2 linked regions of the Drosophila melanogaster genome follow. The protein of the gene in region 2 purifies or fractionates together with the protein of the main gene of each other region. This does not show direct contact. Each region holds a gene or a part of one and is shown on either strand. Other genes may lie near its edges.

Region 1 (4,269 bases), on a different chromosome or scaffold from region 2:
CCTGCTGAGTCGCTCCGATCGCGAGTACATCTACACGACCATAACGGACGAGTGGAACTACGGTCTGAATGGGCGGCAGATGTTCTCCTGGCGCGAGAAGAACTTCACCGATACCGCGGGCCTGACACGCGCCTTCGTCCAGGAGCAGCACTCCACGCCGCTCTTCACGCTGCGTAGCGAGCTCTTCAAGTGGTACTACTTCGTCGATCCCAGCCAGGGCAATCGCTTGGCCGCCCTGCGCTCCGGCAGTCCCAGCTCCTCGACCAGCACCTGGACCATCGCCTACGCGGGCGACGCACTCATCTTCCGGCAGCGCGAACTCACGCTCTGTGCTGCCGAAAAGTTCGACGACGATCGTCGTCTGGTGAAGATGCTGCCCGGCCAGATGCACACGCCGCCATCGGAGGCTTGCCAGTGGCTACCGATCGCCTGTGCTCCGCCAAAATGAGCGGGATGGCTGTACCCTGGAATGTTTGCAACAAATAAACTTATGCATTAGTGTATAAGTGTTTTTATTCCTAGCCAGTCATGAATAATTAAATATATAATTTGTATTAATATGTGTGTTTCCGTTCAGTCTGCAAGTGATTATACAAATATTAGAAAGGGTAACCAAACAAACAAATTTTACAGAACGGTACAGCATAGAACGTGGTGGTCAATGGTTTCAATTAAGCCTAATCAGTGGTTCCCCTTGTGGTTGAGCTGTTCGTCCGTTATTGTACTACTTGCCGAAGGTCCACCTCCTGCTCGAAGAACTCCTCCTCCTCGCTGTCATCGGACTCCGACTCCGGCTCCGGCTCCGAGTTGCGGGCGGCCTGTTGATAGCGGAACTGCGAGTTGGGCAGCGGCAGTAACTCCGCTGGTTTATCCTCCTCAGGTTCCTCCACTGATTCCTCCTCGGGCGCCGCATCCATGGACTCCTCGATGGTGCGCGAGTGGTCCTCGATCTCTTCGTCGTCCAGATGCGGTGCTCCATTGGCGAACGAGGCGAAGCGCAAAGGATCACGCAGTTTGCCCATCACCGCCCACTGCTTGCACTCCGGACTGTTGACGTACTTGCGCAGGTCCGCCAGCGATTTCGAGGTCTCCACGGCCGTCTGCTGTTCGTACTCCTCCTGGGTGAGCATGCGCCTCTTTAGCGGAAAACGGCGGCGATACATGAACTTGATCTGGTTCGTCCACGAAATGGGGAAGTAGTGGGCCACAAAGACCAGCACCATGATGAAGATCACGGCGCTGGTGTGCCAGCTGCTGAAGTAAGCCATAACGGCGCCAATGGCCTGCAGCACCCACATGACGATGGTTTGCGATCGAGGATTCTTGGGCGGACCAATGCGATAGCAGATCTGTAGAATAATCGAGGCAATTAGCTGGGGTTATCTAATCAAAAGGGAATATCAAGTGACTACGCACCAGGAACGAGATCAGTCCGGTGATCACCAGATAGCCCAGCACATGGTCGCGGTAGGTGATCAGAATCAAACGCAGATTGTCCGCCAGCTGTTTGATCACATAGAAGCCAATGGTCCAGCCGCCAATTAGGACGCCATACATCATGGTACGTCGCGGAAAGAGTTTGGCGGCCAAATAGATGACCACCAGCAGGGAGGCGCATATGCCGATGACAATGCCGACCAGATAGTAGAACACACTGTTCTTTGCTAGCCGCCGGGCGCTGAAGAGGATCAGTATGCCGACGGCGAACTGTGCGAGACGCCACAGATCCAGCGGAATGCTATTCAGAATGACGGTGTACGCCTGGCGGGAGGAAATCCCGATGCACTGCTGCTCGAAGGGCGAGAGCTGCAGCAGCTGGCGCTTCTGCGCGAACAGGGTGATGCTGAACAGCGATTGCTTGTCCTTGTAGTGCTGCAACACCTCCTCCGGCGTCTTCCCACCGTACTGGGAATAATCATCGCTCCCGATGGCCAGGACGAACTCCACAGTCTCGAAGAGACTTGACACCGTCAGCCGTTTACCCGGATAGCAGAACGTGCGCAGAGTCTGCAGTCCCAAGATGTTCTCCGACAAATTGATGTATGTGCCCGGCGTCAGGTAGGCGACGTCCGAGGAAGCCGTATTGCCAGGAATACCCGATGTGAAATATCCAGCCACGGTTAGCATCAGTAGTCCAGCCGAATGCATTATGAACGGTTGCAATGGCGTTAATCTTATCAATCAGTGCGCTTTCAGTCTGTTGCTCTCGCAGGACGTTCGCTTGTTAAATGCTGACTTGCTTATGCTTGATGTTTTGATGTTTACTTTACTTTAAGGAATCGAATGAAAAAGCAACGCCGCTTTGGTTTATGTCCTCACTCACGACGGGACGGGCAGTATATCGTAACGTAAGAAAAATGTATCGATAGGTGTGTGTGTGACTACACTGTTGTGATTTCAAATTTGTGACTAACCATTTAATTGTGGATTATTTATTTCCTTTGGAATACTTTGCAGAACACCCCATTTAAACATGTTTGCTAATATTATTACAAATATCTTATCTTATTCATAACAATAAATGAATATATAACGTTCTTGCCAAGTTCCCAACCTGCAATATTACTTCTAGTAAAGTTCCACACCGCCGAGCTAAGCTCTTGCTGTGGCATTTTTTAGCACATAATGCACGAAGATTCCGATTCAACCAAGGCGGTGAATTCAGTTGTTCGACTTTGATTTTCCAGACGTTAATTGGAGCCAATTTGCAAGCAAACACAGTTAAATGCTCAAACTAAACATATCCGAGCAGTGCGAAGTTAACCAGCTCTAAAAGCGGTGTCGCAAAGTAAACAAATCAAGTTGTCAATCGAATTAAAGTCGAAACCAAAACGTGTTCACAACTACAAGTGCAGCAAAGAGAGAGCTTCGCTTGAAAGTACACGGAATCGTAAGTGAGCTGTAGTTGTAACGGGTGCAGATGGGAAAAGGATAACTTGATGGCGATACTAATGCATCGTAGCTTAAGGATTCTCAGTTGGTTAATCCTCAATTCCTGCCCAAAGTCCAATTCAAAGTTAAAGTCAATGTTATTGTTATTCTCATTTGCTGACCGAACCGGTTTCCAATTGGATCCAAACTTCTCACACGTGCTTACGCACACACAAAACGCACCCTCTCACACTCGCTCTTCCTCTTTCTTCTCCGCCGCTAGTCATCGTGTAAACAAACCGTGAATGGCAATATCAAATGACAACAGGAACTTGAAACGCTTGATAAGCAGTGTCCATTCCCAATCAGAACCGTGTTGTGCCCCGCTCAACATGTTGCCAGACAGTTAAATACATGCATACATTCATCTATCGCGGCTTCCTATTGGATTCTTTGTATATTTTCTTGGGCCGGCAAACTGTGTGCGTGTGACGGTGTGTTTATAAACACATGTGTTTTTTGAACAAGATAACCTGTGGAATTATATTACATTACATTTAAAATCGAGGGTATGCACGCGCTCTGCGTAAACATATAGCATAGTCATAGCATATACTCATTAAGTAAAGTTCCCAGAGTCGCCGAATATTGTTATCAGATTTTCGACTCAATATTGTGTCTACTTGCCTTCGTAGAGATATGATCTTTTAATTAATTAACTTTGCTCGTTTATTTAAGACGGTTTTCGAGTGACAGGTACTAAAGAATACCCTATGGTTTCCAATCCTCCCCAGCAACTCGTCCAATATGGCCTCTACGGACTGTTACCTCGCACTGGAGGATGGCACAGTGTTGCCCGGGTACTCCTTTGGCTACGTTCCCTCGGAGAATGAATCCAAAGTGGGTTTTGGTGGCGAGGTGGTCTTCCAAACGGGCATGGTTGGCTACACGGAGGCGCTCACGGATCGATCGTACAGTGGTCAGATCCTGGTGCTTACCTATCCACTGATCGGTAACTATGGGGTACCAGCGCCGGATGAGGACGAGCACGGACTGCCGCTGCACTTCGAGTGGATGAAAGGCGTCGTCCAGGCCACCGCCTTGGTGGTGGGCGAGGTGGCTGAAGAGGCATTTCACTGGCGCAAATGGAAGACGCTGCCCGATTGGCTGAAGCAGCACAAGGTGCCCGGAATTCAAGACATTGATACTCGAGCCCTGACCAAAAAACTGAGGGAGCAGGGAAGCATGCTAGGCAAGATTGTCTACGAGAAACCGCCGGTCGAAGGGCTGCCCAAGTCCAGTTTCGTAGATCCGAACGTCAGGAATTTGGCCAAGGAGTGCAGCGTTAAGGAGCGACAAGTGTACGGTAATCCCAATGGCAAGGGACCACGGATCGCC
Region 2 (3,333 bases):
TTACGAGCATCTTATGGATATGTCCGTGACTTATCTTGCGGCCAAAGTGATAACGATATTTATCATCGTCGGCGGCGTCATCGCTGCCGGGACTTTAAATGGCCAGCGCATCATTTGCATTAGGCGCACACAGTATACGCGTAGTAGTTCCGGATTCTTGACCTTAGTCTATAATAACGTGGATGCGGACGGGTGGGCGATTTGCTCGGATTTGGATGAATGGGCGCGTGTTCCCCCGGCTTTCGCTTCGCTTTCAATGGTTAATGGTTTGCCGCCTGACGTGATTTACGATTTTATGATTGCCGTCCAAGAGTTCCCACAGATTAAGATGTTGATGTTGCTTCCGTGACCCTCGAATAGATCAAATTGTTTTGCTGGCGAAAGTTCTAGCTGGGTTCAAGGTGGTCATGTATCAGAAAGTAATAGTAATAGTATCATTTATATAATTGATGGTCAACGTGGATAAGCTGGATTAGGATTAATGTAGACTTACTATATAAACTTACTATTTTGGCCTTCATTCATTATTTTATTTTACCTTCTCGAAGGTGTACATTGCGGAAACGGCGGAACCCAATCTGCGGAGTCTGCTGATCGGCGCGCCCTATGTGGCCTACTCAAGCGGCATCCTAATGGTCTACTCCCTGGGCTCCATGATGTACTGGCGTAGTGTTGCGTGGTGCGCCAACGTGCTGCCCCTGCTGTCCATGGTGTCTATCTCGTTTATACCGGAGACTCCGGCCTGGCTACTCCGCAATGGCCACGAGAAGCGTGCGCTGCAGGCCCTCTCGTTCCTGCGGGGCAGCGAGATCAGTGCGCAGAAGGAGCTGAATGATATGAAGCAGAGGCTGGCCAAGGAGCGGGTGACCACCAAGACGAACGAGAACATCTTCCAGCTGTGCTGCCAGCGCGTGGCCATCAAGCCGCTGGTCATTGTGATCGTGTTCTCGCTGCTGCAGATGTTCTCCGGCACGTTCATCGTGATCTTCTATGCCGTGGACATGATCTCGGAGTTCGGAGCGGAGTTCGACTCCAAGCAGGCGGCCATTGCGACGGCAGTTGTCCGGGTGATCTGCTGCATGGTCTTCTGCGTAGTCCTGATCTTCGTTCGCCGCCGCAGGATCATGATAGTGTCGGGAATCGGCTCCGGCTTGTTCTGCCTGGTGCTCAGTGTCTATCAGTATGCCAGATTCGATCAACCGAAAATGTCGTACGACGTATTCGTTGGTGCCGGCTGTCTCTTGGGCTACATCATCTTCAACACGGCTCTGATGGTGATGCCCGGCATTATGATCGGCGAGCTCTTCCCGGCTAGGATACGCGGACGGACTGCCGGCGGAGTGTTTGCCTCCATGAACGTCGCTCTGTTCATCTTCGCGAAGAAGTTTCCCGCTTTGCAGGCCATGCTCAAGATGCGCGGCGTGTTCCTGGTCTTCGGCGTGTCCAGTTTCCTGCTCACTGCCTTTATGTGCCTTTTCCAGCCGGAGACGAAGGGCCGCAGCCTGGAGCACATCGAGGACTATTTCAACGGGGACAACTGGCTCTGGTTCCGGCGGGATCGAGGCTACAAGACGGTCAACCTGCAGCCCCTGGAGCCATTGAAGGACACCCGGGGGCTGGAGGCCTAGGTCGGGGGGCTTTAGTCTTAAAACAGGTCTTAGCTTAGCTAGTTTTAGCCATACTCATAGTTCTAGCCGCAGTGCCTCGTAGTCGCCCTAGACTCGCTCGATTTTCCAGTGACCCCCAATGGGCCACTCCGACAGGGAATCTTCAAATGTTAGGTTACCAATTCAAATTGTGATCGCTATGCTTTAAATTGTGTCTAATTGTTAATTAAAATTATGATTAGAAATAAACAACTTGAAAAATAAAAGTCATCATTTGTTTTTCGGGCAATTTGCAGAAAATGTTTGCAATAAACTTGTTTTTAAGTGTTTGAACATCTTGACTTTTTTAAACTTTAAATAAATATTAAGGGTACTCACGTAGATTAGTAGCGTTTTTGTATTTCAAATGGTGGTAGTAATATTTTTGTTTCTTTCTTTCTGGAGAGTTTTTTTCTGACCACCCGAGGACGGTCACTCTAATTCGAGAATCGCGGGAAACATGGACAGCGTGAGTTGAAAATATTTAGTTTTTTAGCAATTTAGCATAGCAACTATTTGTTTAAAGGATTTGAAAGCCAAGGTCGAGAGCTGCGCCCGTACGGCGGATACCTTCACACGCCTGTACTACGCCTCCGTGGACAACCGACGCCAAGTAAGTAGAGATCCGCCTTGAAAGTCTGCATTTCATGGGAAAACGAAACTCAAATAGATTCCACCTGCAGCAAATTGGACGCCTCTATTTGGACAATGCTACGCTTAGCTGGAATGGAAACGGGGCCATCGGCCGCCAGATGATCGAGAGCTACTTTCAGGAGCTGCCATCCTCAAACCACCAGTTGAACACCCTGGACGCGCAGCCTATTGTGGATCAGGCTGTGTCCAACCAGCTGGCCTACCTCATCATGGCCAGCGGCTCCGTCAAGTTCGCAGATCAGCAGTTACGCAAATTTCAGCAGACTTTCATCGTTACCGCCGAGAATGATAAATGGAAGGTCGTCTCCGATTGCTACCGAATGCAGGAGGTCTGAGATCCACACACTTGTATTTTAAGCTAAGCTAAAGTTCTTACGTCGTAACGAGTTTATTAACATATCTAAGCTCTTATAAATAGATTGACTTCCTATTTGTCCGCCTCTGTCTTGGGCTTCTTGGTGGCCGGCTCGTCGGCGGGTAGTTTTTCGGAGAAGATGGCCTTTGGCTGCGTCTGCTTGTAGGCCGGTGCTATCCAGTAAGGATTCTCGGCTGCGTCCTTGGCATACTTCAAGATGGCTTCCCTGGGATCCTGGTCGTCGTCCACCCGCTTGCTCAGGCCCAGATTGCGGATGACATAGGAGGAGAGGGTGCCGCCGGAGCTGGCCACGCGGCCGCCCTGACCGCTGGTGATGGGCAAGTCCGGTCGCTGGGACTTGACAGGATCCATACGGGCCTTCTCCATCCGCTTACGCGAGGTACGGGACTTTTCCTGCCTGAACAATGGCAGGGCGTGCGGCGTAATGATCTGGGAGACTCCCACCATCTCCATGGGCTGCCTCTTGCGATGCGTCTTCACTACGCACAGCTTGGCGCCCCGGATGCTGCGGTGCTCATCGTAATAGCACTTAATGGTTCCATTGCCACAGCTCACGAACAGTTGGTTGAGCTTTGGGTGCCACAGCGTTTTCACCACGTGCGCGTTGGACACGGGAATCCGCTGCACTTCCTCGTAGCTCTTAGTGCTGTAGAAATA

Evidence for each region.
Region 1: the proteins of Nxt1 (region 2) and Nemp purify together in Drosophila melanogaster (affinity purification with mass spectrometry, with the first as the bait; one large-scale study listed by BioGRID). This does not show direct contact.

What each region holds. Positions count from the first base shown.
Region 1 is NC_004354.4:16,652,720-16,656,988, forward strand, and holds Nemp (nuclear envelope integral membrane protein), read right to left. Parts: upstream 2,297-4,269; 5' UTR 2,149-2,296; coding exon 1,417-2,148; intron 1,350-1,416; coding exon 717-1,349; 3' UTR 501-716; downstream 1-500. Other genes in the region: CG32573 (uncharacterized protein), read left to right, coding at 1-448; r (rudimentary), read left to right, coding at 3,679-4,269. UniProt on the Drosophila melanogaster protein: Contributes to nuclear envelope stiffness in germ cells. Required for male and female fertility.
Region 2 is NT_033778.4:23,810,721-23,814,053, reverse strand, and holds Nxt1 (NTF2-related export protein 1), read left to right. Parts: upstream 1-2,079; 5' UTR 2,080-2,106; coding exon 2,107-2,115; intron 2,116-2,172; coding exon 2,173-2,259; intron 2,260-2,316; coding exon of another isoform or gene 2,317-2,329; coding exon 2,330-2,635; 3' UTR 2,636-2,727; downstream 2,728-3,333. Other genes in the region: pippin, read left to right, coding at 549-1,628; CG5543 (uncharacterized protein), read right to left, coding at 2,728-3,333.